2 linked regions of the Arabidopsis thaliana genome follow. The protein of the gene in region 1 interacts with the protein of each later gene in a pairwise test. Each region holds a gene or a part of one and is shown on either strand. Other genes may lie near its edges. The genes, in order: EMF2 and CLF.

Evidence for each region.
Region 2: the proteins of EMF2 (region 1) and CLF interact in binary tests that used the Arabidopsis thaliana proteins (3 or more experiments, as listed by UniProt).

The regions. Positions count from the first base shown.
Region 1 is NC_003076.8:20,818,111-20,834,041, forward strand, and holds EMF2 (VEFS-Box of polycomb protein), read left to right. Parts: upstream 1-5,533; 5' UTR 5,534-5,848; exon of another isoform or gene 5,849-5,954; 5' UTR 5,955-6,042; coding exon 6,043-6,080; intron 6,081-6,252; coding exon 6,253-6,400; intron 6,401-6,617; coding exon 6,618-6,673; intron 6,674-6,819; coding exon 6,820-6,934; intron 6,935-7,031; coding exon 7,032-7,191; intron 7,192-7,283; coding exon 7,284-7,334; intron 7,335-7,541; coding exon 7,542-7,681; intron 7,682-7,885; coding exon 7,886-7,948; intron 7,949-8,038; coding exon 8,039-8,160; intron 8,161-8,402; coding exon 8,403-8,467; intron 8,468-8,565; coding exon 8,566-8,618; intron 8,619-8,726; coding exon 8,727-8,780; intron 8,781-8,863; coding exon 8,864-8,923; intron 8,924-9,343; coding exon 9,344-9,390; intron 9,391-9,473; coding exon 9,474-9,574; intron 9,575-9,741; coding exon 9,742-9,961; intron 9,962-10,117; coding exon 10,118-10,166; intron 10,167-10,241; coding exon 10,242-10,325; intron 10,326-10,671; and 7 more. Other genes in the region: EMB3142 (nuclear pore complex protein (DUF3414)), read left to right, coding at 1-1, 135-224, 326-457, 543-643, 802-921, 1,016-1,133, 1,218-1,298; OLEO3 (oleosin3), read left to right, coding at 2,061-2,365, 2,476-2,596; AT5G51220 (ubiquinol-cytochrome C chaperone family protein), read right to left, coding at 3,295-3,356, 3,458-3,506, 3,611-3,671, 3,814-3,938, 4,042-4,208, 4,306-4,519, 4,848-5,015; AT5G51250 (Galactose oxidase/kelch repeat superfamily protein), read left to right, coding at 12,633-13,739; AT5G51260 (HAD superfamily, subfamily IIIB acid phosphatase), read right to left, coding at 14,112-14,289, 14,602-14,811, 14,971-15,356. UniProt on the Arabidopsis thaliana protein: Polycomb group (PcG) protein. Involved in flowering processes by repressing unknown target genes and preventing reproductive development.
Region 2 is NC_003071.7:9,950,320-9,966,371, forward strand, and holds CLF (SET domain-containing protein), read left to right. Parts: upstream 1-4,772; 5' UTR 4,773-5,250; coding exon 5,251-5,313; intron 5,314-5,590; coding exon 5,591-5,683; intron 5,684-5,767; coding exon 5,768-6,069; intron 6,070-6,173; coding exon 6,174-6,335; intron 6,336-6,472; coding exon 6,473-6,557; intron 6,558-6,694; exon of another isoform or gene 6,695-6,728; coding exon of another isoform or gene 6,729-6,752; coding exon 6,753-6,887; intron 6,888-6,987; coding exon 6,988-7,035; intron 7,036-7,107; coding exon 7,108-7,179; intron 7,180-7,260; coding exon 7,261-7,961; intron 7,962-8,062; coding exon 8,063-8,213; intron 8,214-8,312; coding exon 8,313-8,536; intron 8,537-8,615; coding exon 8,616-8,747; intron 8,748-8,872; coding exon 8,873-8,963; intron 8,964-9,062; coding exon 9,063-9,110; intron 9,111-9,213; coding exon 9,214-9,342; intron 9,343-9,436; coding exon 9,437-9,514; intron 9,515-9,603; coding exon 9,604-9,798; 3' UTR 9,799-10,067; downstream 10,068-16,052. Other genes in the region: AT2G23360 (filament-like protein (DUF869)), read left to right, coding at 1-1,678, 1,761-1,809, 1,899-2,408; AT2G23370 (cyclin delta-3), read right to left, coding at 2,748-2,888, 2,974-3,084, 3,171-3,252, 3,360-3,454, 3,534-3,596, 3,677-3,844, 3,941-3,998, 4,076-4,118 and 3 more; AT2G23390 (acyl-CoA), read right to left, coding at 10,249-10,308, 10,401-10,571, 10,656-10,866, 11,033-11,085, 11,302-11,352, 11,562-11,628, 11,733-11,854, 12,103-12,384 and 3 more; AT2G23400 (Undecaprenyl pyrophosphate synthetase family protein), read right to left, coding at 13,659-13,938, 13,983-14,102, 14,189-14,256, 14,345-14,582, 14,892-15,049; CPT (cis-prenyltransferase), read right to left, coding at 15,928-16,052. UniProt on the Arabidopsis thaliana protein: Polycomb group (PcG) protein. Catalytic subunit of some PcG multiprotein complex, which methylates 'Lys-27' of histone H3, leading to transcriptional repression of the affected target genes, mainly abscisic acid (ABA) responsive elements.

The sequences.
Region 1 (15,931 bases):
GGTAGGACAAGTAGTTCAGGTCATATTTGAGTATCAGTATATATTTTTTCATGTGTTAGTGGCACCTTTTCATCACATCCTTGAATTCTTATATTCGATGGGTTTCTCTTTTTTGTTTCTCATCTGGTGGACAGAAGGGATCAGAGCTCAAATTGTCTCAGTTGCGATTCAGCTTGACTTCTTACTTATATTTTCTGGTGACCAAAAATTCTCTGAGGTTACAGGTACTCTACCAGTTATTTCCCTCTGTTTCTTCATTCCACGTTGACATTATTCAGTTGTTTGAATGAACTACAAGTAAATACTCATATGCCCCTTGTCCCAGGTTTCAGATGATTCTCTTGATAGTTCCACTAAACTACGCCAACCAACATTGCTGTTGCTTGCATCTCTTCTTTCGCATGTGACTGATTCCCTCGAGAGAGCAGCAGAGAAGAAGTCCTTACTTCTTCATAAGGTATATTATTCTAATTCCTACCATTTACATGTTTCAAACTCTTTTTTTTTTTTTTTACATTCGAAGTTGCATGTATGATTGGCAGATTAGAGACATAAACGAGCTCTCAAGACAAGATGTAGATGCGATCATCAAGATCTGTGATTCCCAAGAATATGTCACACCGTCCGACAACATACATAAAAGGTTAGTGAATTTCTTTCTTCTGCTCGCTCATGCGTGCATATGCCAAAGCAGAAATGGGTATTAACATAGAATTTTTCCAGATTTTTTCTATCAGTGATTAGTAAGACGTTTTGACCACTGTTTTTATTTGTTCGTGGCTCTGTTGTTACTTACCTCAGGAGATACATAGCTATGGTTGAAATGTGCCAAATCGTGGGTAACAGGGACCAGTTAATCACCTTGTTACTGCAACTTGCCGAGCATGTACTAAATATTATCCTGATCCATCTCCAAGATAGGTATGCCACTTTATCTTCAACAATTGATATCTTAAAAGTTTGGAAATCTACGGGTTTGCTCTAAGATACTATGCTAAACACTTCACATATGCAGATCCGTTAGTTCAAATGAAAGGGGATCATATGGTTCAAAATCCCATATACAACAGGAAGTTACAGATCTCTGTGGCAAATTGTCACCTACCATAGATAGGCTTGCATTACTGAATGAGGTAAGCCTAATCGATTTTCGAGAGTTTTCGATTATTTATGTGCTGAAAGTGAAAGGTGGTGGTGACCCGATTTGTCTATCCCAGGGAAAAGTAGGACATAACCTGAAGGTGTTCCAGAGACTGGCAACGACTGTAAAAGAAATGGCCATCCAAAAGTGTGTATGAAATAAGCTTCTCAAGAAATGTATTTTTGTGTGTCAAATGTCCAAATCTAAATTTGTAGTATGAGTCTGTATAACAAAATAGTAAATCCACATGATTTCAAATGATACTTTCTCTGAGACTCTTGAGAAAAAACTTTAAAAGCTCCAGCTTAATTTTAAAGTTATGAAAGCCAAAAGTTTTACCATTCACACTTTTAATGCTTTTCTTTTTCACAACAATCTTAACTATTCTCTGTTTACTATTCACACCTTTAAGTTTTACCGTTCACACCTTTGAGGCGAAGAGCTACTAATTCACAACAATCTTAACTATTCACACCTTTGAGTTGAAGAGCTACTAATACTATTCTCTGTGAGCCAAGTTGTTTTGGGCCGATTGGCTTAATGGATGTGGATTCCGAACTTCCTTTTAATTCTTTGCTTCTATAGTTCTATAGAGTGGGGGAATGGGAGTGACCATAACATCACGACCGATCGATAATAACGTCCATCACGTGACTTATGTCCCGGTCCATGTTGTGTACTATAGCAAAAAAAAAAAAGACCCAGACGTACGTGTCGCAAAAAAGACCCATCTCTACTCATTAACACATGCAACGGCTGCATGAAGACACTTTTGACACGTGACATGGCTCAAGCGAGCCCCACCAGCGCTCCTCTCCTTCATAAATCATCATTACTTACTCCGAAAACACATCACTACCTTTTCTCTGCTAATTTCTACTATTTGTGTTGGAGGGATATATTATAATAAAAAGAACCAATGGCGGACCAAACAAGAACCCATCACGAGATGATAAGCCGAGACAGTACCCAAGAGGCCCATCCGAAGGCCAGGCAGATGGTGAAGGCAGCAACCGCTGTCACAGCCGGTGGATCCCTACTTGTCCTCTCCGGCTTAACACTCGCTGGAACAGTCATCGCACTCACGGTGGCTACTCCTCTCCTCGTCATCTTCAGCCCCGTCTTGGTTCCAGCAGTGGTAACCGTTGCTCTCATCATTACCGGATTCCTTGCATCCGGTGGCTTTGGAATAGCCGCCATTACCGCCTTCTCTTGGCTCTACAGGTAATTTACGACCCACACAAAATGTGACCTACCGTTTCAAACCGAGCTTGCAATGCACGTTATATTTTATAGAAAGTTTGAATATTGGAGAATATGGTCATTGTATTTAGGCACATGACGGGATCTGGATCGGATAAGATAGAGAATGCTCGGATGAAGGTTGGAAGCAGAGTGCAGGATACTAAGTATGGGCAGCACAACATTGGAGTCCAACACCAACAAGTTTCTTAAAATTCAAAGGCTAAAAACGATTTCCACATTAAATTGTCATCCATCGTTAGATCTCTTCTCTTTGTTTTTATTTTCAACGTTTATGTTGTAATGTGTGATATATAATAACATGCAATGTATGATGTAATCTTGTTGTTGTTGTATGAGTAATGTTTTGATCCTTCTATGCGAGCGGAAATCTTCATATAGACAGTGTCATTGGTACATTACACAAATCTTCATAATCTCCTTCTACGCTAGCAGAAATCTTTAACCATGAACATTTGTTCTCTATAAAAGCGCTGCTATTATGTGGTACCAATTCATTTGTTGTGCTAACCTCAAAGACCAACAAAAAGAAGAATTTAATAAAGATGATGAATTCCACGATCTAACATACTATAGTTATAATACTGTTTCAAATACAAGATCATAAAATGTTGAATGGCAGATAAGTAATTACAATCGGCTATCGCCTTGTAGAAAAGATTTTGAGCATTAGTAAGCCAATTAAAGTACCAAATACCAATGACAGTAAATGCTCTAATTCAGTAATCTTATTCACTTTCACATTGTTTTCATGATCATCTGGATGCTAACAGCTAGCACATTCCCTTGTGTAGGTTTCTTTGGTTTGATATAAGTAAATCAAATGAAACAGAGAAACAAATGAAAGATTGATTCGCAAAGCACCACAGCTTCTTCTAATTTCATTCAAATCACAGGGGCTTGTTCTCCAAAGGGGTGAAGGAGAAATTGCCGGAGAATATGGACTCTTTATCTGTGTATGACAAAAAAGAACCATATAAGAAAAGGCATGTCTATTCGAAATGCAAATGCGAGTAACATAATGAGGCATTCCAACTATAGCGTCATAGGTACCTGTTAAAGAAAGAGAACCAAGTTCTCTCCGGACATATCTTGCCATTGCCTGAAACACACAAGCAATGTCTTAACAAGTTTGGTACACAATGCCTAAACTAGTATGTCAATGTGTGTGTGTTTGCGAGAGAGATAGAGAGGAGAAAATCATGCCTGTGCTGTTTTTAAATCTGTGTTATCAGGTGTTGTTGTTCCATCATCAGAAAATACGTTCCTACAATCCAATTGCATATAAGGTTCTGAGACAAATCCGTTATCTATGGCTGCCATATTGTATATAAATTCAAGCCGAGCTACTTAGCTGTGTAATCTCTACCGAACTCATTGCATAAAGCATGACGTTATAGAAGCTTTACCTCCATAATTTGATTTGTAGGTCATTTGGTTTAGCTTCCGGAAGTAGCGCAGCATCATAGGCAACAACATTTCCATAAAATATTCTCTCCAACTCCTTCATCCACTTGGCTAGCAGCAAGTTAACCTGTAATTTCAAGAAAGATTAAGACCATCTTATTTTAAGGAATCTAAGAAACTAAGATATCTCTTCGAAACTATATTAAAGCAAAACCAAGTCTAGCACGTACCCCGGCTTTAGATACCCTGAGTTCAACATCATGATTGTAGATCTCATAGACGTATTGACCAAGGTCAACACCTTCCTGTCCATCTTCCTTCAAGCGGCGTAAAACAAGCCACATATGAAGGACAAGCAGCGAATACGTTATTTTGAATGTTTTCTCCAAGTTGAATACTGCAGCAGAGACAGAGCACCCGATATATAAACAAAGCACAAAATGTAAATACATAACTCTGTTTGCAAAAGTTGTGTTGGAAACCAAATAAAGTACCATCATATATTGCAGGTTTATCAACTTGTGCAATGATCCGCTTGTAGATCACGTTAGCCCCACGGATAGACATGCTCTGTTTGCTATAGAACATCATCATCTTTAGTATGAAACGACGAATCCCTACATAGTCTGGTTCATCAATTCTGAGAGGAGAGTCTTTAGGCAGAGCCAATGAACATGGCTTTGACCAAAACATCTTATCCAAGTTTATCTGTCAAACATAGAACAAATCCTTTTCATCAAAGAAGACACGATTGTCCAGAAGCAGTTGACTAAAAGAGCATGAATCTAAATCACAAACATACTAATGAAACTCCAACAGAAAAAAAGGGATGAATCCTAAATGAGGTACAATGGGGAGGCAGAAGTCACTTTAGTCCCGCATTCGATGAAACTAGAAACAGAGAGAATCAAATTGAGCTTAGGTTCGAATACTATAGTGAGACCTAAACATTCACAACAACTACGCATTAACAGCTACTTCTGAAAACGAGATCTTTAATCTGAGTAAACAAAATGTTACCACTTTAAGATCATACCGGAGATTTACTGGGGAAATCCTTCTGCGACGGAGGATCAGCTGCCGCCGGCGCAACAGTCGCGTACCCATATCGGGAGAAAAAGGAGAGATTTTTCATCGATCCATTAGTGGTCAAAGATCGAAGCTTTGAGGTTTGAGTGACGACTCGAGCTAATCTGGGCAACATTAGAGAGAAACCCTTGTGGTTTTACTCAACAGATGAATAAATCTGAAGGGAGAAATTTGAATGAGTAAGATCGAATTCTAAAACCCTAGGCGAAAAACCCTCTCCGACTCCTTTTCTGTGTGATTGATGATGGGGCTAGGTAGTCGTCCACGTTAGCGTCTATTTGGCCAGATATTCAATTACAGTGCTAACTTACGCCGTTATTAGGAACGGAAAACCTTGGTTATGCAAAAACAAACACATTTTACCGATATTGGTGACACGAAACTGATGGTCGATTTTAGATAGTAAGAGTTGATGATACCATAAAATATGTTTGTTTATACCATTATCATTTTAGGGGGATAAGGAACTATGACTACTTTGTCATCCATTTTTTTGGTGGATCTCTAATTTGAACTCAAGTGGCTTATATTGAATAGTTAAGAAATTATGCTTTCTCATGGCCATTGGGGAATTTAGTTTCAATTAGTGAAAAGAGTTTTAATTAGATTTTATTGTGCACCGAATTTTACTGATTTAGGACATGGTTTACGCTTATTTTCTCAAGAGCAAAAATATTTACGGTCTCCTCAACAATATCATCAATTTACACTTTTTATTACTCTTCGAAACGCTTCATCTCTCTCTTTCTCTCTCTCAAGCTGTCAAAGTCACCTCTGTATTCGCGTGAAGATAATTTCTCACAATTAGGGTTTTTTTTTTCTTCTGAGTTAACTGTTCCATCTCCATCCTAATCTTCACCTTCTCCTTGATTTCGAGATCTCTGTCAATTTGTTGAATCTGTTCTTTATCTAATTAGCTCAACTCCGAGTCTTTGCTGGATTTTGAAGGTCACCACTGTTCAAGTTTACATTTTTTTTCCTGCTAATCGCTTGATACCCGTTTCTGCTGTTGTGGGATTTATTGGGTTTTTCTTCTTTACGATTTTTGTTGCAGCTTTTGTAGCTGAAGCAAATTTGTAATCTGTGATGGTGTATGCACTGATTCTGGGTATGGTATTGTACTCTAGGATCTCGTAGCGAGAATGCCAGGCATTCCTCTTGTTAGTCGTGAAACCTCTTCGTAAGTCTCATGAACAACCTAATGCTTCTATAATGTCTCTGCAGCATTGTGTAACTTTATACTGTTTCTCTTATGTATAAGCTGAGGAATCCTAGTAATTCAAACTTATCAAATTTTTATTTTGTTGTGGGGTTGCTTACAATTTTGGTTGCGTATGATGGTGAAATCACAGTTGTTCAAGAAGCACAGAGCAGATGTGCCATGAAGACTCCCGTCTGCGTATTTCGGAAGAGGAGGAGATTGCTGCTGAAGAGAGCTTGGCTGCCTATTGCAAGCCTGTTGAACTCTACAATATCATTCAACGCCGTGCTATTAGGAATGTATGTCTTCCTTCCTACCTTTTTTAGACAGAATATGTTTAGTTATGACTTATGAGCTCAGCTGATATATCACATGTATTGGTTTACTTTTGAGTTTTGACAATGAAAATTTACATGAAAATGTAGTTTGAGTTGACTTCATTTGGTATAAGCAAGTATGTGTTGTCTTGCTATGCAGTCCATCCTAATCATTTCTCTCTCTCTGTCTCCCCTGTAGCCCTTGTTTCTTCAGCGATGTTTGCATTATAAGATTGAGGCAAAACATAAAAGGAGGTAAGCTTTTTTTTTTTCCTTCCTTTCTCTGTTCAGAATCTCCATTACTTTTGGGTAACTATTACACTATACCTTAGTAATTCATTCCGGACTTGAATGCTTTCTAAGTTTTCGGATAGTTATCAATATATATTACTGCTTTGCAGAATACAAATGACTGTATTCCTCTCGGGCGCTATAGATGCTGGGGTACAAACTCAAAAATTATTCCCTCTGTATATTTTGTTGGCAAGACTCGTTTCTCCTAAGCCTGTCGCTGAGGTATGCATTTGAACCTCAGACAGATTTGCATTGATCTTTATTATTTGTAACTTACCTATTCTTTGCTAACATTTTTCTTGAAATTCTCAAATTATAGTATTCTGCAGTATATAGGTTCAGTCGAGCATGTATCCTAACTGGTGGATTGGGGGTTGATGGAGTTAGTCAAGCCCAAGCCAACTTTCTTCTCCCTGATATGAATAGACTCGCATTGGAGGCAAAATCAGGATCACTCGCTATCTTGTTTATCAGCTTTGGTGATTAAGACTGACTGTGTACAAAATTATATAAAGACATTTATATATGTACAGTATTCAGATAAACTGATCACATAATTTTCTTCTTGTAGCTGGTGCGCAAAATTCTCAATTTGGCATTGATTCAGGCAAGATTCATTCAGGTACTTCCATTTCTTCATTGATATAACATTCTAATATTGAAAAGTTATGTATCTTTGGGCATTACCAATTTTCCATGTAATAGTATGGAAAATCTCAGTCCTATTTATTAACAAAAGAATTAGGGATTCTTTGACTCCAATTATAAGAGTTTCTGAAAGTCTTTTTTTTCATTAACTCTTACCATCGGAAGCGTTTTTTTCTGCCAGGAAATATAGGAGGACATTGTTTATGGAGCAAAATACCTCTGCAATCACTGTATGCGTCGTGGCAGAAATCACCAAACATGGACTTGGGACAGAGAGTAGACACAGTCTCTCTTGTTGAAATGCAGCCTTGCTTCATAAAGGTAAACACTATTGCCCAAGTCTTCCTCTTGTTCTATGACTTTATGCTCCCTGTATTGAAATAAGGACTGTGTATTGAACTTCTTTTGTTATTTGAAAAAGTAAATTGGAAGTAATTGCTACTGTGAATTTTATTTTTGCCATTAGTTTTCAGTCTTGATTATTTAAATGAAAATATTACTGGTATAACTTGTCCATTGCTGCAGCTAAAGTCCATGAGTGAGGAAAAGTGTGTCTCGATTCAGGTGCCCAGCAATCCACTCACCTCGGTAACTTTGCACACTTTGCTATACTTCCATACATTATTCTGAAATATCATGTAATCATATTCTTACAATTCTTACACTTCTTATTTGAAGAGCTCTCCGCAGCAAGTGCAAGTCACCATATCTGCAGAAGAAGTTGGGTCAACGGAAAAATCTCCTTATAGTTCATTTTCATATAATGACATCTCTTCCTCTTCCTTGTTGCAAATTATCAGGTAATCTTCAGTTTAGTCTGCAATTTCTTCTGCGCTCTCAGATTTCTTGCCTCATCTCATTATGATTTTTTGTAATTGTATAAAATATATTGGCCGGTCTGCTATCTCCCTTAATATATAGTTGGCAGTTTTCTTGAATTGTGACTGTCCTCCTCTTTTATGGGGATTATACAAGTCGTTACGTACAACTAAAAATGTCCATCTCGTTAAGTTGACTCTATACCACTACATTCATTGCATAGGTTGAGAACAGGAAATGTAGTTTTCAACTACAGATACTATAACAACAAATTGCAGAAGACTGAAGGTAACTAGTATTATTTTAACCTGTTTCATACCCATGTGTGTCTATATTTCATCCGTTACCCTAACCTGTTACGTATATGTTTGCTATGTGTCTTGCAGTAACTGAAGACTTTTCTTGTCCATTCTGCTTAGTAAAATGTGCCAGTTTCAAGGTGGACTTTCATTTCCATTCTCATTCATCCTCTTAGTCAAAGATACAGCTGTAGTGACTAGTCTTTGTAGTGATGCAATCTTTTCTTTTTCTCCCAATCATGTTGTAGGGCCTGAGATATCACTTGCCATCAACCCACGATCTCCTCAATTTCGAGTTTTGGGTTTGTAGCTTTAAAATTCAGTTAACCTGTTTGATCTTTTTTTTTTATTTTGTGGGTGCCACTAATCTGCTTTACTTGGTTAGGTAACTGAAGAATTTCAGGCGGTAAATGTCTCCCTCAAGACTGAGACAATGATATCCAAGGTTAGAACATCTTGTTTGTTCGATTTATGTTCATTAGTTTCTCTGCTGTATATCTTATAGGCTGTAACAAATTCATTTTTCATTTAAACTAATATCCTCCATGGGTTGTTGACTTTTGTGTGGTTAAATAAGGGAACTGGAATCTTTAGTTGCTATTTGTCACACTATGATCCTTGCTATTGTCCTTAATAGCGTGATGAGAATAAACTCAAAATGACATCGCTGTTCTGTTTACTTTTTGTGGCCATGAGACCGTCAAAGCTCGACTGTAGAATAAAGTCCTGGATTATATAGGAGTGTCAAATCTAATTGAAGTAGTTGGTTCTACAATATATTCTATGTCTTTGTAGTTTTTCCTATTTGATGATTACTCTTAGCACAGTTTTCTAAATGTTAATGTTCATTAAAAAATCTGCTCAGGTTAATGAGGATGACGTTGACCCAAAGCAGCAAACTTTCTTTTTTTCGTAAGTTATCTGGCCTATATGTTGCCTTTTATTATCTTTCCAGCATCTGTGTGAGACCATAAAAATTCTTCAATATGTGACAGTTCCAAAAAATTCAGACGGAGGAGGCAAAAGAGTCAGGTACGGAGCTCAAGGCAAGGGCCTCATCTTGGATTAGGTTGCGAGGTGCTAGATAAGACTGATGGTATGTGTTTGACTGAAATGACAGTTAATTGGATTTGTAGTATTGGCTTCTTTTGTGATGAGAGCCTGTCTTAGTTGTATATTTTACGAGTATTTTACTTTGTTATGTGCAATTTTGCATGCAACAACGTTGGATCATTTGGCACAGCTTTTTATTCTTACTTTCAGATGCTCATTCTGTTAGAAGTGAGAAGAGCCGAATACCACCTGGAAAGCATTACGAAAGAATTGGGGGTGCTGAGTCTGGTCAAAGAGTTCCTCCTGGCACGAGTCCTGCAGACGTGCAATCATGTGGGGATCCAGATTATGTGCAGTCGATAGCTGGAAGTACAATGTTGCAGTTTGCAAAAACGAGGAAAATATCTATAGAACGGTCGGACTTGAGGAAGTATGTTTGACTTCCTTTTGTCGTTCTATCCTCTTCTTCAATTTATATTTAACTACATATGGTTCATGCATGAAAAATTGTGTCCTAGTTTTATAACAAGTAGCTTGTTAATCCCAAATGATGTGAGTGAGTTTTTCAAATTTTTTCCTCCTCCAGCCGAAGCCTCCTTCAGAAGAGACAGTTCTTCCACTCTCATCGAGCTCAGGTGATCTTTTTTCTTTAGCTCTCTTGCTTTTGAAGATTGCAATTGATTTTGACTTTGCTATGTGTACTATCGCAGCCCATGGCTCTAGAACAAGTACTTTCGGACCGGGATAGTGAAGATGAAGTTGATGATGATGTGGCAGATTTTGAAGATAGAAGGGTATGTTTTTGAATTTAATATTTTCACCGCATCAGTAGTTGGGTAGAATAAAGCTCAGTAGTTGGGTAGATATATGTTTCATGTGAAAGGGAAAGGAATATTGAAGACTGGGCATGGGCAAACGTTAGGAGCAATATTGTAATGGTTCAGAGATCAATAGAAAATATGTGAGCAAGCCTCACGGTTTGATATGGAACAGTAGAACCAGATCATTAGTGCTTATATAACACTCATTAAAAGACGAAGTGTGTCCGTTTGTACTCGATTCTAACATAGTTGATTCTAACATAGTTTGTCTGATTCTCCATATAGTGAATAACGTTATTTCCTATTACTATTCTTTCAGATGCTCGATGATTTCGTTGATGTGACTAAAGATGAGAAACAGATGATGCACATGTGGAACTCGTTTGTGAGGAAGCAGCGGTATGTCTTATCTCTTTTCAGTACATGTCACGTGGAGTTTTCCAGTATAAACATTTAGAGTCGCGCATGTAAAGGTTGTGGATAATTCCTGCATGAGTTCTTCTGGTTAAAAAAAAAAAACTGAACAATTAGATAACATACGCATCCATGTTCTCTGACTCATTATAAGCATTACCTTGACAGTGGTTTTGGACCCTTTGCAGAGTATTAGCAGATGGTCACATTCCATGGGCATGCGAGGCATTCTCAAGATTGCACGGACCCATCATGGTTCGAACACCGCACTTGATTTGGTAATTCAACTCTCATTTCTTCCATTGTTTTTTCCAGTGTATCGGAGAAGAAAGCGGTTTTGTTGATAAAAGTGAGCTTTTTTTGTGTAGGTGCTGGAGAGTGTTTATGGTGAAACTGTGGAACCACGGTCTTCTTGATGCCCGAACCATGAACAACTGTAATACCTTTCTCGAACAGCTCCAAATTTGAAAACCCAAGAAATCATTAATTTAAGTAGAAAAACAAAGAAAGACAAGAGAAGAAGAGTTTTGGGTTCTCATTTAACTACTTTTGGTGTTTTAAGAGAAAGAGGAGCATATTTATGCATGAATTTGTCCTCATCTTTTTTTTTTTTTTTTTTAATTATAAATGTGTACATTGGCTTATCTTTGACGCTTGTTCTTCGAGTAATGCTTTATACATGTTCCTTACTCATTTAGGATATCATATGGTTGAAAACTTGAAATACTAATTGACTTTGTACACTGGAAACCAGACATGGATGTTACTCTGGAAACATGCATCAACATATGTCCATGAAAAAATATTAGTTTTGGTAGAAGAAACAAGCTCACCTTTTTAGATTGCAAAATCAAAAACTTTCTCAAAAAGGGAACCTTGCTTATGTTGAGAGACAAGCATCGTATGGATCAAGAGTACTTTAGCACTAACACTATTATATATTATAAATCTAGTCTTAACAACATGATTAGCCAACTGAATGATATATAACCTAGTGCCATTGCATAGATCAATTTTATGATCAATATTTCCAAGTAACATGAGAGGGCCACCAATCTTCAGTCGCAAACTGTTGTTAGTCAATCTAAACAATTTGATGCTATTCAGAAACTCTTGAGAGTAAACCATAATATCAGTTGTGTTTGTAACCGACGTCTCAATTCTACACATGGCAATATATAGCTAATCAATTCCTATAAAATTCATAAACTAATGTGGGTATTAGAAGAAAAAAACGTTGTTATCTGATATAATGTGATATAGCATATTAATTACTCGTTAATCATATTAACATCTTGGTTTGTTGGATTTAGAATAGCTCGATCTCTCTCTTCAAAGAAATTATGATCACTCTCTTTTGCAAATGAGTCTCCATAATCTTCCTTTACTATTTCTTCTCTAGATGTTCGTGCTCAATTATCAGCAAATCTTCAGGGATATCAATCTCAGTCTCATCATTGTTCTGTCAATCACCAATATTTAGAATAGATTTAGAAAATCTTTAGGCCATGTGGGCCGGGGCCTGTGAAGAAGTCACTACAAACCCTAAAGGAAACAATCTATGGGAACAAAAACCCCTGTGATATCTATTTTATCCACATGAACTGAAATGCTTTACTCAATGCGCTCTTGATCTATCATCCCTAGGAAGCGAAGGATCAAATCGCTCTTCCTGTAGCATCCGCTTTGAGATCAACAAATAATCTACCTTTGCTTCGATCCGATCCGAGGCAAAAACCCTAGATTGCTGCTCAAGTAATTATACATGCTCTTTTCTCAATTTTTTATTTTCTTATCTGTTTCTAAAGTATTGAAAACAAAAAGAGGAAAAACTTATGTGTCATATTGAACTTAAACAGTAGAGTCATGTCGTCACTTCCCGATGATTTGCTATTGAGCATCTTCGCACGCATCTCAAGATTGTACTATCCGACTCTCTCTCTTGTCTCCAAGAGCTTCCGATCTCTACTAGCTTCACCGGACCTTTACAAAGCCCGATCACTCTTAGGCCACACTGAGAGTTGTCTCTACGTGTGCTTTCATTTTGATTCTGGCCCTAACACACATTGGTTCACTCTCTGTCGGAAACCTGACGGAACCCTAACCAATGACACCAGTAAGAAGAAGAAGTCAAATGGGTATGTTTTGGCTACTGTGCCAATTCCCCATTCTCCTCCTGCAAACTTTTCAAGTCTCGTGGCGGTTGGTTCTGATATCTACAACATTGGTGGATCCATTTACCTAGGACCCTCCTCGTCTAGTGTCTCGATTCTGGATTCCCAGTCTCACATGTGGCGCGAGGCTCCAAGCTTGCGGGTGGAGCTGATGTCACATTCTGCTAGCGTCCTTGACAGAAAGATATATGTAGCAGGAAGCTACAAAGATGGCAATGGCGATTCCAACTCCTGTAAGAACTTGTTCGAGGTGTTCGACACAAAAACACAAGTGTGGCATCCTGAGCCCATCCCATGCAGCAAGACAAAAGGCATTTTTTACTCCAAAAGCGCATGTATTGATGGAAAGTTTCACGTGGAGACGACTCACGGAGTGGTGTATGCTTACAAGGAAGGTAGATGGGACAAGGCTATACCAACGATGTTTGGTATGAGGGCTTCATATTCTTTTTGCGAGATAAATAATGTTTTGTTCTATATTCATCGCGGAGTGTTCAGATGGTATGATACTAAGTTAAGAATGTGGAGAATATTGAAAGGTTTGTTAGGACTACCTAGTTTACCTGAGAATATGTTTGTTAGATTGGCTGATTATGGTGGAAAGATGGCGGTTTTATGGGAAGAGGATCGCCCTTCTTGTGGGGCTGGTGGCAGAGATGAGATGATGATTTGGTGTGCCGTGATTGCGCTTAAAAGGCACCTAAATTTTAGTTTTTGGGGAAAGGTTGAGTGGTTTGATCATGTGCTTACAGTCCCTAAACAACATGTTTTCGTTAAGGCTCTTACTGCTAGTTTGTGATGAATGTGCCACAAGGCTTGAACATGTGTTCTTTTGGAGTATGCAACGATAATGAATGTGACTTTTTCTCTTAATGCACTTCTTATTATTTGATGTCAACAAAAAAGAAACTAAAGAGTTTTAATTTTGGCTTACTAGAGTTTAGTGTAACTAAAGATGATCACGAATACATTGTGAAAAAAAGAAGTTAAAACGAGTAGTACTATATACTATCTACTCTGTATAAAACAGAGCATTCTCTGTTATTAGTACATTTAGTAGCTTGACAAGTTACAAGCAAAGGCAATCCAACTTTAAAAACACTTTGATTGCTCTAATAGTAAGTATATACGATTTTTGAAATGTTTTATATAGGTCGTCAAATAAAGCCCTTCAGGGGATATAATACATTGGATTTGCGAGTTTGAAAGATCGTTGAGACATGGAGGTACCCAACAAATCACTCCATTGATCACCTGAATTGCCTCTAATCCTATATCCCTCTTTCACCATCTCATCTCTCTTCTCAGATTTGTATAGTGTCGCCATTTTGTGCTGTTCCTCTGGAGATCTGCACATCACACACAGACACGAGGGCAAAGCAAAACGAATAAACAAAGGATGTTCAAAACTGATGATGATATGTCTAAGATATCTTATCAAACCATTTGCAGAGATCCAGAATTCTATATGATCCACCAGCATCATCAACCATTGCATAACGAACAAACTCATTGCATGACTTAAAATCAAAGAGCTACCCATGTTTCTTATCAAACTATATGCCACCGGCATCAACCATTGCATAACGAAAAAACTCATGGCATGACCTAGAAGCATGTATAGTTACAACCTAAGAAGCTGCATTTGTTTATAATTATACCTGAGAATAAGCTTGTCCCAGTTCTGGAAACCAGCATTGATGAGATTTTCAACAGTGACAAGCCTGTGACTCTCTTTCCTCCCTGTAAGCAAGAAAACTTTGTATCCCAAATCTAACACTCTTTGGTAAAGCTTCAAGCTTGGTGCTATGGCTGGTGCCACTCCTCTCTCTACCCACTTATCAAACTCCGAATGATCAAAAAGCTCCAACCTTCAAAATTCCCAAAACATAATCAACAAAGTCAAGCATTTTCTATAACCAATTGTCCTCTTTTATGAGTTTCTCTAGCAAAAGAATCACATGAACATACACAAACCAAACCAAGTTTGAGATAAAAATGTGTAAAGTAAAAGTTTTGAGAGAATGTACCCAAAACCATGATCAATGTAATAAGGAAGATTGGATAAGAGAGTCTCATCGATATCGAAAATCCAAATATCTTTGCCATCGCCGGAGAATTCGATGCTTCTCGCGAAGATCAAAGCTTCTTCAGAGACTCTCTCCAAATCGGTGAGGTAGCCTTTACCCATCACATAGTCCTTCACGTAATCGGCACATTCCACCGGGATTGTTTTCCACGGCGCGAGATTGTTCATCTCCGCCGCGAATCTCCAGGTCGTACAATGCAAATTGACATCTTCTTCGGCAGCTTTCTTGTGTCGACTCTCGATTTCCGACGGGTACTCGAGAATCGAATCGGAAAACGCGGAGGTAAATAAGGAAACCACCACGAGGAAAATCAGATAAATCCTCATCGGAGAATCAAAGGAAATCGAATCAATCAAAAAAAAACCGAACAGAGAAAAAAACGAAATTAGGGTTTTCTGAATTTCTGAGAATTCACACCAATTGAGAAACTAGAATCAAAATTAGGGTTTATATTGAGATGTTGAAGAAGAGGGGAAAGAATAAAATGGAGAAAGGAATCGAGAAAAACTCGAAAGCCAGAGAAAAGGGAAAATTTTGAAAGTTTCAAATTGGATTAATGGAATAACGTACAAAAGAAGAAAGCTTTGAATTGTAATTTCAATGGAGAAATGAAAAGAATCGGAACAGTGCTCTGTTTCTTTCATTTAAAGCAGTGGAGGAGAATGTCAAAGACAGGAGTGGTCGGTCGGTGACGTGTAAGAAAAGAAAGCCTATTTATTTATTTTTCACTAATTAATCCAATAAAAGAATCTGTTCGTTTCGGGTTCGGATCTAAAATTAAGATACAATTGGGTAGATCCGGATTCCGTTGATGCACCGTTGGGTCCACTACCGGGTCCTTTGACGGCGTCATACCTTTTTTTTTTTAATTTCACCTGACGTAATTAGTTTTTAAATATGC
Region 2 (16,052 bases), on another chromosome or scaffold:
AACTCTCAAAGGCTTTGTTAGCAAAGAACAAAACTGTTGAAGATTTAAACAGAGAGAGGGACCGTATAGAGGTTGATTTCAATTCTTTGGTGAGTAGTTTAGAGTCGAAAGAGAAAGAAAACGTTTCATTGAGATATGAAGTTCGAGTGCTGGAGAAAGAGCTCGAGCTTCGGAATGAAGAGAGAGAGTTTAGCCGTCGAACTGCTGAAGCATCGCATAAACTGCACTTAGAGAATGTGAAGAAAGTTGCAAAGTTAGAATCAGAGTGTCAAAGGTTACGGGTTCTGGTCAGGAAACGGTTACCAGGACCCGCTGCTCTTTCTAAAATGAGCAATGAAGTAGAGATGTTGGGAAGGAGAAGGGTCAATGGAAGCCCTCATAGTCCGATGATTGATTCCGAAAAAATCAATAACCTTACTGAACAATTATGCTTACTGGAAGAAGAGAACAAAACTCTAAGGGAAGCCTTAAACAAGAAAGTCAGTGAGCTTCAGTTCTCGAGAAATATGTATTCTCGAACAGCGTCTAGACTACTAGAATTCGAGTCTCATCTTGAAGAATCTTCTAGAGGTACAAACATTGAGCCAAGCAGGAGTAGCAATGTGTCACATGAAGTCTCTCTTGCATCCGTAACAGAGTTTGACAATGATGATAAAGTTAGCTGTGCCGATTCCTGGGCTTCTGCTTTACTTTCAGAGTTGGACAATTTCAAGAACAAGAAGGAAATGGGCACGAGTTTGGTTGGAACCCCTAAAGCTGCAGAGATGAAACTAATGGATGATTTTGCTGAAATGGAGAAGCTTGCAATGGTTGCTAGTACAATCGATAACCGACCTGGAAGTTCTCCTATTTGTTCTTCTGATTCTATTTCAGCTACTGGTCCGGTAGAGAACGAATCTAATGAGAATTCATCAGAAGCAACTAAAACTTCTGGAACAGTTTATTCATTGAATCCTGATGCATCTCCCAAAGATGATATCAAGTCAGATTCGTTACCTCAATCTCTTCATATAGTCTTGAAAGCGGTAATGGAGCATAAGCATATCACGCAGAGAAACACTGATGAAGTACTTGAAGATATCAGAAAAGCTCTGTCAAGTGTAAACCATTCAAGCTTTTCTACAAACCATCAGGAGACTAAGACTCTTACTGTGGAGGATAGACTGGATATGGAGTGTAATATCAGCAAATCAATTCACAGAATCATTGACGTTATCGAGGGAGTCAGTCTTAAAGATGAGAGGCATGTGTCCAACAGAGAATCAGAAAGGCTTTCAGGTTACACTGCTCGCGTCTTGCAATGGAAAACTACAGAGCTAAGTAGTGTATTGCAGCGATTTCTTCAAGCTTGTTACGATCTATTAGACAGAAAAGCAGACATGAAGAAGTTTGCTCAAGAGCTAAGCTCTGTGTTGGAATGGATGGTGAACCACTGTTTTTCTCTTCAAGATGTTTCAACCATGAGAGATGAGATTAAGAAGCAGTTCGAGTGGGATGAATCACGGAGCGGAAGCGAAGTTGATATTGGAATATTTCGTCAGGTTTCAGAAGCAGAGAAGCTTAGAACGGAAGATGTTTCCTTTTTGGCTTGCAAAGATCAGTTGATTGAAGACAAACCTGGTAATCAAAACTTGTCGCGCAAAACGGTTGAAGAAGAGGCAAATGACAAAACAGCGAGGTAAATATGAATGCTTAAAGACTTCATGTCAGCAAAATCATACATTTTATCTCTGATGCATCCAATGGTTTTCTTGTTGCAGTGCTTCAGAGAACGAGCTCAAGCTGGAGGAAAAACAAAACATGCGAACCGTAAGTTACAAGCAGAAGAAAATCGATACCATTACATTGAGAGTTGTTTTTGTCCAAGACCAATCTGTTTTATGTGTTTGATGATTCAGGAATTGGAAATCGCTGCTGCTTCAGAAAAGTTGGCCGAGTGTCAAGAGACGATTCTAAACCTGGGAAAGCAGCTCAAGGCATTGACTAACTCAAAGGAAACAGCTTTACTTTCAGAAACACTCATGTACGACGTTACAGACAAATCGAACAACCTACCTGATGCACAACCTTCACATGAGACTACTAAACCAGAGAAGAGATTGACCAGCCAGAGATCATCTCTTTTGGATCAGATGAAGGCAGAAGATCACAACACCGGGGAATCCAAGGATCAGAAACCGCAAGCAGCAGATAAAAACGGAAAGGGAGGAAACAGCTCTGTTTACAATGAAACCATTGAGGCACTAGAACAGATTCTTCTCTCAGACAAAAGCAAAGGCTCCGACTCAAACTGCTTTGCCATTGTTCCTCAGAAAAAGACCGGCGGAGTTAAGAGCCTCTGGAGAAAGCTGTTGGGGAGAAATAAGAAAGGTAAGAGCAAGAAGGTCCCTAATCCATTTGCCAACTAAGAAGATGGTGGCATCTGTCATCTAGACTATAATCTAATACCTTAATCCTGTTTCTTTATATGGTCCCAAAGACCCAAACTATGCAAACTAAACTGTCATTTTCTAGATTTTTTTGGCAGTATATATATAATCTCCACGTAGAGTATTACTCTATAAGATGATCATTCTGCTTTATTCCACTTTTAGTCTCAGAAAGGATACAATCAGTAATCTTGACCCAATGAATCTTTAGCAGGGTTAATGTAAATCTTCAACGTAGACACTAAATGCATAAGATCATTTGATATAATGTCATCTCAGGTCTCAAAAGAACAAATTGTGGCCTTTAAAAGAGACTTCTCAATCTCTGTACAGAACAAACTTGGCGATGTCGTTAAGTCCAGCTTCCTTGTAGCACTGAGCAACCCGTTCCAGTGATTCGTCCCATGTCCCTTCAAGTGACGCTAGATTCAGTAAGAACGCAGCCTCGTCCAAAGATGCCTGAGAATTACAAGTTTTGTTTCAAGCCTTTGTATCCATAAGCATGATATGAGTATCTGATAATGAATACAGGCAAAGAACAAACCTGAGCCATTGGCTTTCCCCTGTCTATATCCCGTTGTTTTCCTTCTCCTGTAACTCTCTCCTTATACTGCGCAATTTGCTCTTCTCCCCACTCTGCTATTTGAGCAATTTCCTGGGAACCCGTTTCATATGTTCAACACTTTTTTCCCTTCTCTTTTCGATTACCAAAATTGCTTGTCGATAGTCAAGGAATTGTACCTCATATCTGCATCCTAAGGTCCACCACGAAGATTTCAAAGCACCCCTAGCTGCGTCTTTCGCTTCTAAGTTACGCCCAAGTCTACAAAATATATAGAGGTCTTAGAGTTTTCTAGAAAGGACGTAAGCATTTACCTGGGGGTCGTTCACAAGGGAGAAAGAGGGATGATGAGAAAGGATCATACGAACTTCAGTAAAACTTTTGCGTTGAAAGCGAATGGCCGGGCAAATCCGGGAAAGTTCCCTCTCTTTGTATAAAACTCGGTAGCCACCAAAGCTGAAACCTTGTATTAGCACGTGAAGATAGTTTAAAAAGAGAAAACACGTCAACTACAACAGGATAGATATAATTACTAGCCTTACATGGTCTCCATTCTCGATATGCCGAATAACTTTTCGTTCAAGAGAATCTGGAAACAATCCAACCTGAATTACAAAGCTAATAATCATATCCCAGTATCCATGTGCAGAAAAGATTCTGATATTAACAGGCTCAATATATGTACCTTTCTTAAAAGATAGGCATCTAAATCCATCAGTCTTGAACTGGCAAAGTCACCCTTACTGTAAAGTTTCTTCCCAGCTTCACCAGCAGCATTGAAGATTTCTTGGCTGCATTCTTCGGGTTTGGAAACATCTTCTTCCACCAATATTCTGTGAATGAACTGATCAACCTGAATGTTGGCCAATGAAGTCAGATATGAGAATGAACACTCAACAAAAATAACCCTAAATTAACGCATCAGTAATGCTATAAAAAGACTCATTACATTATTAGCTAGAAACCAAACCCCATGTTTCTGAACTTCCACCACAGGCATCTCCATACTGCAAACACCACAAACAATGATAAGCTACAAAAGAAGAGAAACATGACGATATTAAAAAAGCAAGGAGGATCTAACCTAGAAGGAGCTGTTGGCCACCGTAATAGAGCAATTGAAGAACCTGAAAAAGGAAAGTCATACAAACTTAATATGAAAGTGTTACAACCTCAGATAAGAACTTATGTACAAGTCCAGAATCATACCCGGGCTCATTTTCACCAACGGAATAGTAAGAGGTAACAAGCCTTGCTTGGCACCAGGAGAAACTATGGATTTACCTGATCCAATGTCATTACCACAAGCAAAAGTCACCATTCCGCAAGTTAACAAACAAAAACTTCGAAAATACGATCAGCAAGTCAGTGTAAGATTGATTTACCTCTAGCTGTGAATATATTCAGCAGCTGCATCAGATGCTTAGGAGGCTGAGCTTTTGCTATATCCTTAATGAAACATTCATGTTCTGCACATAATCAATCGTTAACTTCGATTCACTGATTGTTCAAATTCGGCACCGTAAGAATCATAAACCAATCTCAAGCCATCGCACAGCTTCCAGAAGTTGCAAATGAAATAGCGAAGATGTGAATCCCTCTCACCAGATAGTGAAGAAGAAGAGCAAAAGGATCTGGCGAAGTTTCTGCTGCCATGGAGAAGTATCAGTCTACGTTTCCGTCCGAAAACCGCCGCGCCGCGATGCATCTCAGAGTTTTCCGATCGCCGTACTGTTTCTCGTCCGATGAGATTACAGAGAGACTTCGAAAAGCTGTTGCTGAAAAAAAAAACAAAAAATAAAGCCCAAACAAATAGGGTTTAAGAGCCCATTAAATCAGAGCCCAGCAACGTTCGTGTTTGTTTTGTTCAGTTGATATAGAACCAGTCTCGAACTCTAGTAGATTCGTTGTCTCGAGCTACGTGATATTCCGGTAAACCGTCGCCGGAGATGTACAGTAGATAATTCAAATCGAGCTGCCACGTCGCTATTTTCCCACCAACTTTTTTTTTTTTAAATAATTGGAAAAAGTTTCTAATTTACACGCTTCCCAATTCGTAAACAATGTTCTTTAAAAGTAAAACGAAATTTTTTTTGGATTTGAAGATAAAAGATCCAAAATAAAAACAAAATTGAAGATAAATTTTTAGGGTTTATAACGACCCGCCAAATTCCTTCTCTCCTCCAACATTTCAGATTTCGCGACCCGGATCTTAACCCGGACCCGCATTTGTTTCGGTTCCGATCTGGTTTCTTGACAATGGCGTCAGAAGCTTCGCCTTCTTCTTCGGCCACCAGATCGGAGCCACCCAAAGACTCTCCGGTGCGTCAATCGTTTTTTTTTTTTTTCTTACTTTCTAAAAATGGAACTTTTTTCTTTGTGCTATTGAGGCATTGACTTTGATTTGCTTTAGTTTGAGTGAAGAGAACGAAACTCGATGGCTTGTTTGAGCTTCTCTATATGCTCGTTTTTAGATCTAGAGATTGCTGGATTGTGAGATATGAAGTTGTTTTTGGGTTCGTTTAGGAACCATTTTTGCTGCAATTGATAGTTTCTCTCATTGAACACTGTGTAAAGGAACCTCATTTTGATGTTTCAGGCGGAGGAGAGAGGTCCAGCTTCTAAGGAAGTATCAGAAGTAATAGAATCGCTAAAGAAGAAGCTTGCAGCTGATAGGTGTATATCAATAAAGGTTGCTATTTTTGTTTAGTTTTTTTTTTGTATGTTTTATGTGTTTCTGAATCTGATTGTTAGAAATTGATGTGTTTGTAACCAGAAAAGGATTGATGAAAACAAGAAGAATTTGTTTGCTATTACTCAAAGTTTTATGAGGTCTTCTATGGAACGAGGAGGTAGCTGTAAAGATGGCAGTGATCTTTTAGTTAAGAGGCAAAGAGATTCGCCAGGTATGAAAAGCGGAATCGATGAAAGTAATAACAACAGATATGTAGAAGATGGACCTGCCAGTTCAGGAATGGTTCAAGGATCTAGTGTCCCTGTCAAAATTTCCTTACGTCCTATCAAAATGCCTGATATCAAACGTTTGTCACCTTATACCACATGGGTTTTTCTGGACAGGTATGTTGACATTAATGTCGCAAGAGTACTTGAAAATATTCAAGTTGAAATGTAAGCCCCTCGCATAGTATCTTAACGTTATAATCACTCTTGAAATGATGCAGAAATCAAAGAATGACTGAAGACCAGTCTGTAGTGGGTCGAAGGAGAATTTATTATGATCAAACTGGCGGGGAAGCGCTTATCTGCAGTGATAGTGAAGAGGAGGCCATTGACGACGAAGAAGAAAAAAGAGATTTTTTGGAGCCTGAAGATTATATTATTCGGTTAGTATTAAATGGCAGGAGTTTAATCATTCTTGCATTTTGGTCTCTTAGTGTGAATCTCTTGTCTGCTATGTCAACTGTTATGCTGGTTTGTTCTCACTTATATTGTTGGATTAAATTTCCCTTCGTTTCTTCAGCATGACCCTTGAGCAACTAGGTCTTTCAGACTCAGTCCTGGCGGAACTAGCAAGTTTCTTGTCTAGAAGTACTAGTGAAATCAAGGTATCAACAACTTTTTTCTCTGCCTATTGCTTGTGTGAACTATCATGTGCTATTTTCTTTAGAATCAAGCACTTCAGTTGTAGGATTTCAAAACAGAGTGAGGGATGCATTGTTTAAGGAAATCCAATTAGTATTGTTCCAGCCCTTTCCCAATTGGCTTTTTGCAGAGATATGAACACCGACCATCTTATACAGGCAAGACATGGAGTGCTTATGAAGGAAAAAGAAGTATCCGAGAGTGGCGATAATCAAGCAGAGAGCTCCCTTCTCAACAAAGATATGGAAGGAGCATTAGATTCTTTCGATAACCTGTTCTGCCGTAGATGCCTTGTTAGTCCATTTGATTTTCTCAGGCTAATGTTTCATGGGTTATTGCTTAATGATCGAGCAAACATTGGTCTCTTTTTAACTTTTGTATGCATCTATGCAGGTATTTGATTGCCGGCTTCATGGGTGTTCACAGGATCTCATTTTTCCGGTGAGTTTAGTGCCAACCGAAAAAATCTTACTATAACTTTAGTGTTACTTATCTAATTTTATGGATTTTTAGGCTGAGAAACCAGCTCCATGGTGTCCTCCTGTAGATGAAAATTTAACCTGTGGTGCAAACTGCTATAAAACGGTAAATTTGTTATTTTCTCGTTGCTAAGCTCATCTCCTAGAAAGACTGGTTTAACAAAAAGCGTTGTTTTCAATTTATCAGCTTCTCAAGTCTGGAAGATTTCCGGGATATGGCACCATTGAAGGTAAAACTGGCACTTCATCAGATGGTGCAGGTACTAAAACCACACCCACGAAGTTCTCCAGCAAACTTAATGGGAGAAAACCAAAGACCTTCCCAAGTGAAAGTGCATCGTCTAATGAAAAGTGCGCACTAGAAACAAGTGACTCAGAGAATGGACTACAGCAGGATACCAATTCCGATAAAGTTTCATCATCGCCAAAGGTGAAAGGTAGTGGGAGACGAGTAGGTCGTAAGAGGAACAAAAACCGAGTTGCTGAGCGAGTTCCTCGTAAGACTCAGAAGAGGCAGAAGAAGACAGAAGCCTCGGATAGTGATTCCATCGCCAGTGGAAGTTGTTCACCCAGCGATGCAAAACATAAAGATAATGAAGATGCTACTTCCTCTTCTCAGAAGCATGTAAAATCTGGGAACTCCGGGAAGTCAAGGAAGAATGGCACTCCTGCCGAAGTCTCCAATAATTCTGTGAAGGATGACGTTCCTGTTTGCCAGTCAAATGAGGTTGCGTCAGAGCTTGATGCGCCGGGTAGTGATGAAAGTCTAAGGAAAGAAGAGTTTATGGGTGAAACTGTATCTCGAGGAAGATTGGCTACAAATAAGTTGTGGAGACCACTTGAGAAAAGCCTTTTTGATAAAGGTGTTGAGATTTTTGGAATGAATAGGTGGGTAATTTTGATGTATTTAGCTACTGCTAAATTATCATTCTGCTTCAGGTTTTTCAATTTGTGGAATATAGTCATATGGATTCTTTGTTTCTTTGCAGCTGCTTGATTGCTAGAAATCTTTTGAGTGGTTTCAAATCATGTTGGGAGGTCTTCCAATACATGACGTGCTCGGAAAATAAAGCTTCCTTCTTTGGAGGTGATGGATTGAATCCTGATGGCTCTTCCAAGTTCGATATCAATGGAAATATGGTATATTAACACTAAACCTTTTTGACTTTGTTTACAAATTCCTGATAAAATCGATTTATTTCTCTTCGGATTTAATGCTTTAGTTTCTGGACTAACCAGGTTAATAACCAAGTGAGGAGAAGGTCAAGATTTCTACGTAGGAGAGGCAAAGTGCGGCGCTTGAAGTATACCTGGAAGTCTGCTGCATATCATTCAATTAGGAAAAGAATTACTGAGAAGAAAGACCAGCCCTGCCGTCAGTTTAATCCATGTAACTGCAAAATTGCTTGTGGGAAGGAATGTCCTTGTTTGCTAAACGGGACTTGCTGCGAGAAGTACTGCGGGTAATGTAATCTATGATTATCCACATCTGTATTTCTTAGCTTTGAATCTCATTACCAACAAACTATATTTTCTGTGTAGTTGCCCAAAGAGCTGCAAGAATAGGTTTAGAGGTTGTCATTGTGCCAAAAGTCAGTGTCGAAGCCGCCAGTGTCCATGCTTTGCTGCAGATCGGGAATGTGACCCAGATGTTTGTAGAAACTGCTGGGTCATGTAAGTCTTATTGGGGATGCAAATCCATCCTAATTGGTTTCTTAGAAAATGCTCAAGAAATGCAACTTTTTTTTTAGTAGTTCCAGATGCACTTATACTGTGTCTGAATGAATTTGAATGTGTAGTGGTGGGGATGGTTCGCTTGGGGTCCCAAGCCAAAGAGGCGATAATTATGAGTGCAGGAATATGAAATTGCTCCTGAAACAACAACAAAGGGTAAATACTTAGCCTTGTTAACTAAATATCTATGATCTGCAATCAAATGATTAAACATGAAATGGCTAAATTTCCTCCTCTTTTTTATGTTAATTTCAGGTTTTACTTGGAATATCTGATGTTTCTGGTTGGGGAGCTTTCTTAAAGGTATATTAGGTTCAAAATTTGTTAAACTGATAAGTCCTTCAAAGATTAATCTATGTTTAGAGTATGAACTTGCCTTAAGAACAATTATTTTTCCTTCTTACAGAACAGTGTAAGTAAGCATGAATACCTTGGGGAATACACAGGAGAGCTGATCTCACATAAAGAGGCAGATAAACGCGGGAAGATATACGATCGCGAGAACTGCTCTTTTCTCTTCAATCTAAACGATCAGGCACGTCTCAGCAGCTTTGAAATGTCCCAACTCTCTTTCTCTCTAGTCTCTAGGTTGTCTTCAAATTTTAAAATGTTTTTGGATTGTGCTGCAGTTTGTGCTAGATGCTTACAGGAAAGGAGATAAACTGAAATTCGCCAACCATTCTCCTGAACCTAACTGTTACGCAAAGGTAAAAATGTGAAAAGTGCAAGTTAAAGATACGGTTTTCGCATGATGGGTATGTTCTGTTTTTCCTCAAAATCTTTGTATCTGTTCAAGGTCATCATGGTTGCTGGAGATCACAGGGTGGGGATCTTCGCAAAAGAGAGGATACTGGCTGGAGAAGAACTATTTTACGATTACCGGTATGAGCCAGATCGAGCTCCAGCTTGGGCCAAAAAACCTGAAGCTCCTGGTTCTAAGAAAGACGAAAATGTTACACCTTCTGTTGGTAGACCCAAGAAGCTTGCTTAGCAACAAAAGAAACAACCATTTTTTTGTCAATTCTTTGGTTACAGGTGGAAGAACGCTTTAATCCTCATTACTCTCCACACGGAAGAACACATTGAAACAAATTCATACATTTTGCTGAGTCTAAAGAAAAATTGTATTCGTTGGATTAAAATTTCCTTTTTTCGTTTTACATTTCTGGATTATCATTTTATTGTACTGAGACTCGGGTTAAAGTTTTTAAATTACAGATGAGAAACTTGGTGAGCTTTGGAGCTGACATCAATGTGGTATTCCTCACACATCACAATCTATATAAATTAAATTAGGCGTCAGTGTACATTTGGTGATCAGAAAGTAACAAAACCAAATCAGAAAACGAACATGAGCAGCCAAATTAAAATGTACATTGACGCATAAACCTAAGAATTAAGATATACAAGAATGTTTGCGATAACCAAGATATAAATGCATCTATTCTATTTTCTCTTTGAAGGGTCCATCTTCATGCATCAGTCTGATGACATAATCCATCTGCGATGCACAAAGTTACATTGTTTAAGTCGATGATCCAATTACATAGCTATGTTTATATACTCTTTTAACACCATAACTTCAAAACATACCTGATTTGATTCGCGCACTAAAAACTCGTCTATGGCTTGCCTGAAACCTTCATCGAATATGTAATGGCAACTATATGTTTTAACGGGAAGGTAGCCTCGCTGAATCTTATGCTCACCCTGCGCTCCAGCTTCTACCGTTTTCAGATTAAGCTCTATCGCTGCTTCAATTGCCTATGAATCCCATTATCAGTTTGTGAGTTTTAATCAAGTATGTCTCGGCGAAAACTCTTGAGACTTTGAAACAACAAGACCAACCTGGTAATAGCATGCTTCAAAATGGAGACTAGGATAATAGGAGTCGGGACGACATCCCCATAGTCTCCCAAATAGAGTATCTCCTCCAATGAGATTCAATGCTCCTGCAACAGGTTCCTCGTTTTCTTCAGCTAAAACAAGCAATACCTTGTCTCCCAACTTCGATGCCATGTCGTGAAAGAAATCCCTTGTGAGATAAGGTGTGCCCCATCTAAAATTAGCCGGAAATCGTTAAGCATGTGAAAGGACAAACACAGGTAATGCATACACTTGACGATGACAGGTAATTGAATGTAAGTATGTTTATTATGCACAAAGACACATAATGTGTACTAATGATAAGAAAAACAAAAATGTCTCAAAGATAAAGACTAAACTTGTTATCAGTTGTGTTCCTGTAGAAATCATAGAAGGAATCCCAGTGCCTAGCCTGCAAAAACATTAGGCACAAACGATGAATCAAATTTTTAAGACACATATTAATATAAAAGCCCCATAATGTCCTTTATAGCATGTGCCATCAGTTCTAACCTCTGGTAGCAGATTGATATCCCATGGTTGATTATTTATAGCCATTAAAATGAAAAGATACCGCCAGGCATAATCAATTACAACAAATTCGTCTCGTGGCAGTTCAGTTACATACCTTTATATCATCTCCTTGTAGCCGTCTCATTTTCAAATTCTGGGTACCAATCTACTAGAGAAAAGGAGCATTAGAAGTCAGCAGCGTGCTTGAAAAACGCCACAAGGAACGGATAACGAAATAAGGCCACAATTCAAAAGTTGTATGGGAAGAAAAAAAGAGTAACCATTCCATTTTACTATTCACATGAGCAAAGAAACTTAAGAGACAAGAATAAATTGCACAATGAGGATGATATGAAAAGAGGAAACTAAACAAACCTTTTTGCGTTCCTGTCGGATATTTTTCCTTTTGCTTTGCTTCATGTCCATCAAGAACTCGTCAAAACTGAAGTATTAGAGATAAAAAAAAAAATGAACAAAATATAATAGCAACTACTTCCAATCCAGTCATTGTTAAGAACTAATATACTGGCAACTAACTTCAATTACTTTTTATAATCACGATTTTTCCAGTGGTACTGCATTCCAATCCTTTGTGAGAAGCCTTTCTCTTTCAATTTGTCCCACTCAGCTCCAGACGGAAATGTAATGTGCAAAGATGAAACTTGTAACTGCCAAAGCCCACAGAATACAACTAGTCTGTCAGCAGTCAGCAGATAGCATATGTTGAAAGCAGAACTCAACACAAGAGAACCATTACAGCTTCAAGAAAGTAAAATGTGAGATTGTTCCTATAGTAATAAGGATAGCTAATAAATAGTAGAACCTTAGTTCTGTATACCATGAGATCACAAGTTTAATCCTGTTCCAAGTCTTGTTTTTATCTATAACACAGATAGATTTCATATAGAGATCATACCTTTGATGCCAATTCCGTCATGGCAGAAACAATAGCATCAAAAACTTGCTCTTTGCAAGGATTATCACGGATAAGAATCCTAGGACCAGTAACTGGGGTGAAAGGAACACAACACTGAAGTTTAGGATAATATCTTCCGCCAAAACTTCGGTATGCATCAGCCCAAGAATGATCAAAAACAAATTCGCCATAAGAATGGCTTTTGAGATAAAGTGGAACAACACCCAAAATACTCTCACATTCATCCTTTGCAACAATGTGTAATGGCATCCAACCTGTTTCCTAATAACATTTTGCAGATAGAAATTCCCATAAGAAAGACAAACATCTATGCTTGCTTCTTTCGGTTGAAGAATAAAGGAAATTGCTTCACTAACCCGAACGGCACAACCAGTATCTTCTAAACTGGAAAGAAATCCATAACTTAGAAATGGATTATAGCTTTCAGGTTGAGAAGAATCCAACGCACATGCATCCCATTCAGCTTGTGGTATCTCAAATATTGAAGAAACAACTGATAGTGAAATCACCTTTTGCTTCGGCTTGTTTTCCAAAGCTTCCTAAACTCGAAACGAAACCACTATTAGAGAACTGATGATTTATCAACTAAAATCAACAAAGAAAATTGAAATGTTAAAGCGAATAATTTGGCACGAAAAGTTCGTAGCTAACAGCGTCTGAAAGCTGTTTACATAAAAAATAATCAACAAAGAGATTGAAATACCTCAATGTTTGATTCAGTTAGAGTGTAATCTCTAAGTGATATATCGAATTCCTTTACTTCCGCAGGCTTATTGGACTTCCAAAACATAGCAGTAACCGAAGATGATCGTCTTGAACTCCTAACATTTTCTTTCTTCCACAAATTTCCCTACAGAGAGATGATGAAGATGATGATGAGATTGAATTATCTGAATCCAAAAGTCTAATTGTATAGCTACGAATTCGTAAGAGTAAGCCATAGATAACATCATAGCCAAAGAAAAACTCACGCAGCGACGATGGAATCGACGAAGAGGAGGCGAAGGTTTGCAGTAGGAAAGTACAACGGCCATGGACGAAACTGGTTACGCGTCGGTGTGTTTGAAGAGGAACGTGAAAATGGAGTTCCGACGCGACGGCGACGGCGGCGGCTCCGGCGCTCAAGTGGAGTCACAGTGGTCGCTGATGATTTTTTTGATTCATGGGAATTTGGTTTATTTGCTTCGTGACGTGTCAATTTTGGGGTCTTCAGTTATTTTTTTGCGTTGTCGATAAGGTGGGCTATTGATTTGACAGCTAGGCCCATTAAATCGAGTGGACATGGACCTTTAAAGCCCAAACTATTTCCCGCAAAGACTGATTTTCAATTTTAGTGCTGTAGAACTAGGTTTCTGAGATATTTTCTTGTATAGCAAGATATTGATTTTTAGTAACAAACTGATACATGCGTAGAAGGAGAAGCAAAGACATCACTGATTTTATCCGATTTAAAGACATATATTACAATGAAACGTGAAACAAAGAGCAAGTAGTTTGATAGAAATTATAGATGAATAAAGAGGATGAAAGGTGGATCACACGCGACAACCAAATCGTCTTTCCCTGCCCTGATACGAAGCGAGGGCCTCTAGAAGCTTATCCTTATCGAAATCAGGCCACAATACCGGCGAGTAGAAAAGCTCGGTATAAGCAAGTTGCCACAAGAAGAAGTTACTAATCCTTTGTTCTCCACTTGTCCTAATCATTAAATCAGGACTTGGGAAGTCACTACAATTCGTTAGAAGCTCTCTCTCGATCAATGCCTCGTCTACATCTTCCTCTCGGATCAACCCTTTTTCTGATTTCTTCACAAGACTCTTGCAAGCATGCATGATATCAAATTTCCCGCTGTAATCTACTGCCATGATGAGATGCTTATTCTTGTAGCCTTGGTAGCTTCCTCTATCTCATGGATTTCTTTGAGGAGAGATTCAGGGATCTTCGTTTTATTCCCGATAACAGAAACGCGAACTTCCTTTCTGTAACAACAAGATAATTCTTGGTAATGAATAACCAGAGAGAATATGTCAAAACAAAAGAATCACAATCGAATTTGTATATATACCTTTGAAAGTATTGAATGTTGGACTTGAGGTAGTGGTTGAACAAAGACATTAAGCACTTAACCTCAAACTTATATAATAACAACAAAATTTGTTAGTGTCTATAATTGTATGAGAATATAATCTACTTGTGAGATCTACAATGTAAAATGTCACACCTTGTCTCTTCCCCAATTCTCTGTGGAGAAAGCAAAAGCTGAGACTGTATGAATACCCAACTCGAAGCAGACCTCGGCTATCTCTATAATTCGTTTAGTTCCAGCCTCGTGGCCTTGTGCCGTCGTCAATCCGTCTCGTTTGGCCCATCTCCGGTTCCCATCTAGTATGAATGACACGTGTCTCGGCATCAGCTCTCTTTGTAGCTCCTCCTCTCGGACAACACAAGTTGCCTCATCACTATACAACCAAAAAATTATTGCTAAAACACATATATATTGTCCAAAAATTCTTCCGATGTGGGATAATTCTAACAAAAGGCTCTCTCTATGTGTACTTGTGTAGTATAATTTCTGTTGATAACTAGATATTAACTAGTGATTATAAAATTGAAATTAAATTATGATTCTCTTCTCGGGAGACTTTCAAAAATACCATTTATATGATGTCACTCTTGTACAAAACATTTTACAAATTATAGATTTACAAAACATTCCACAAACATAACTTACTAAAAACTAAAAGTATGATTAAAAAACCGTAAACTACCGTTTCTCGTTGTCATCATCGTCTCGAGCGGCTTTGAATTTGATGAGTCCAAGGAGTTTTGTCAAGAACACAGGGAAACATATATAGCTTGTGATAAAGAGACAAGGGATGAGAAACAGAAAGGGGAGGGCTACTAGAGTAGAGAGAAGAGACAACATTCTTGTCCTTGCTAATGCTTAATTTGGCTTTGCTTTAATGTTAATTTGTTCGAGTTATTGAAGCTTTGTCATACACATATATATACTAAGAATTCAAAGACGTCGCTTTGATCAATCAAACTACGCAAAGACAGGTCTTACGTATTAAACTCTTCCGTGGAGAATCATTTATATTAAGTTAATCGATGTTTGTAACGGTTTATCTATCTTTTTCCAGCTGCATTAGGGCTTTGAGAACCCACGTGATTGGTTTCTTGTGTCACAAGACTTTTATTGGTTTCTTGTGTCACAAGACTTTTATTGGTTTCTTGTGAAACAAGCCTTTTTTGGTTTCTTGTGTCTGGTGCTTCTGAAGAGGATCGGAAAAGGAGACCCTTCTGTGCGCGACGGTGACTTTAGGTTTTGATTCATGGATTTTTGCTTCGTGACGTGTCACTCTCTGGGGACTTCAGTTGTTTTGTGTGGTCGAAAAGGTGGGCTAATATACTTTGATTTGACACTTAGACCCATTTAATCGAGTGAATTTGGATCTTTATCAATCTATTTCCCGCAAAAAAAAAGTGAATTGGTTTGAAGATGTTTTAATTAAAAAATCAGAAACTTTGCCTAGTTTTGGGGTGATGGTTTGGAGTTTTAAATTGTAATGTTGTTGAACTAGAGGAATCTGAGGTATTAAAGTTACTTGTTTAGCAAGTTATTGGTTTTAGTAACAACTGTCAACTGATACATAAAACATGCGTATAAAGCGAAGCACGGAGAAAGAAATAAACGCATCACTGATTTTATTCGATTTTTACCGACACAAATTACAATGATACGCAAGAAGTTTGGTAGAAATTACAGATGAACAAAACATAATAGAGAGGATGAAAGGTGGATCAAACCCGACAACCAAATCGTCTTTCCCTACGCTGATACGAAGCAAGAGCCTCTAGAAGCTTATCCTTATCGAAATCAGGCCAAAATACCGGCGAGAAGAAAAGCTCGGAATAAGCAAGTTGCC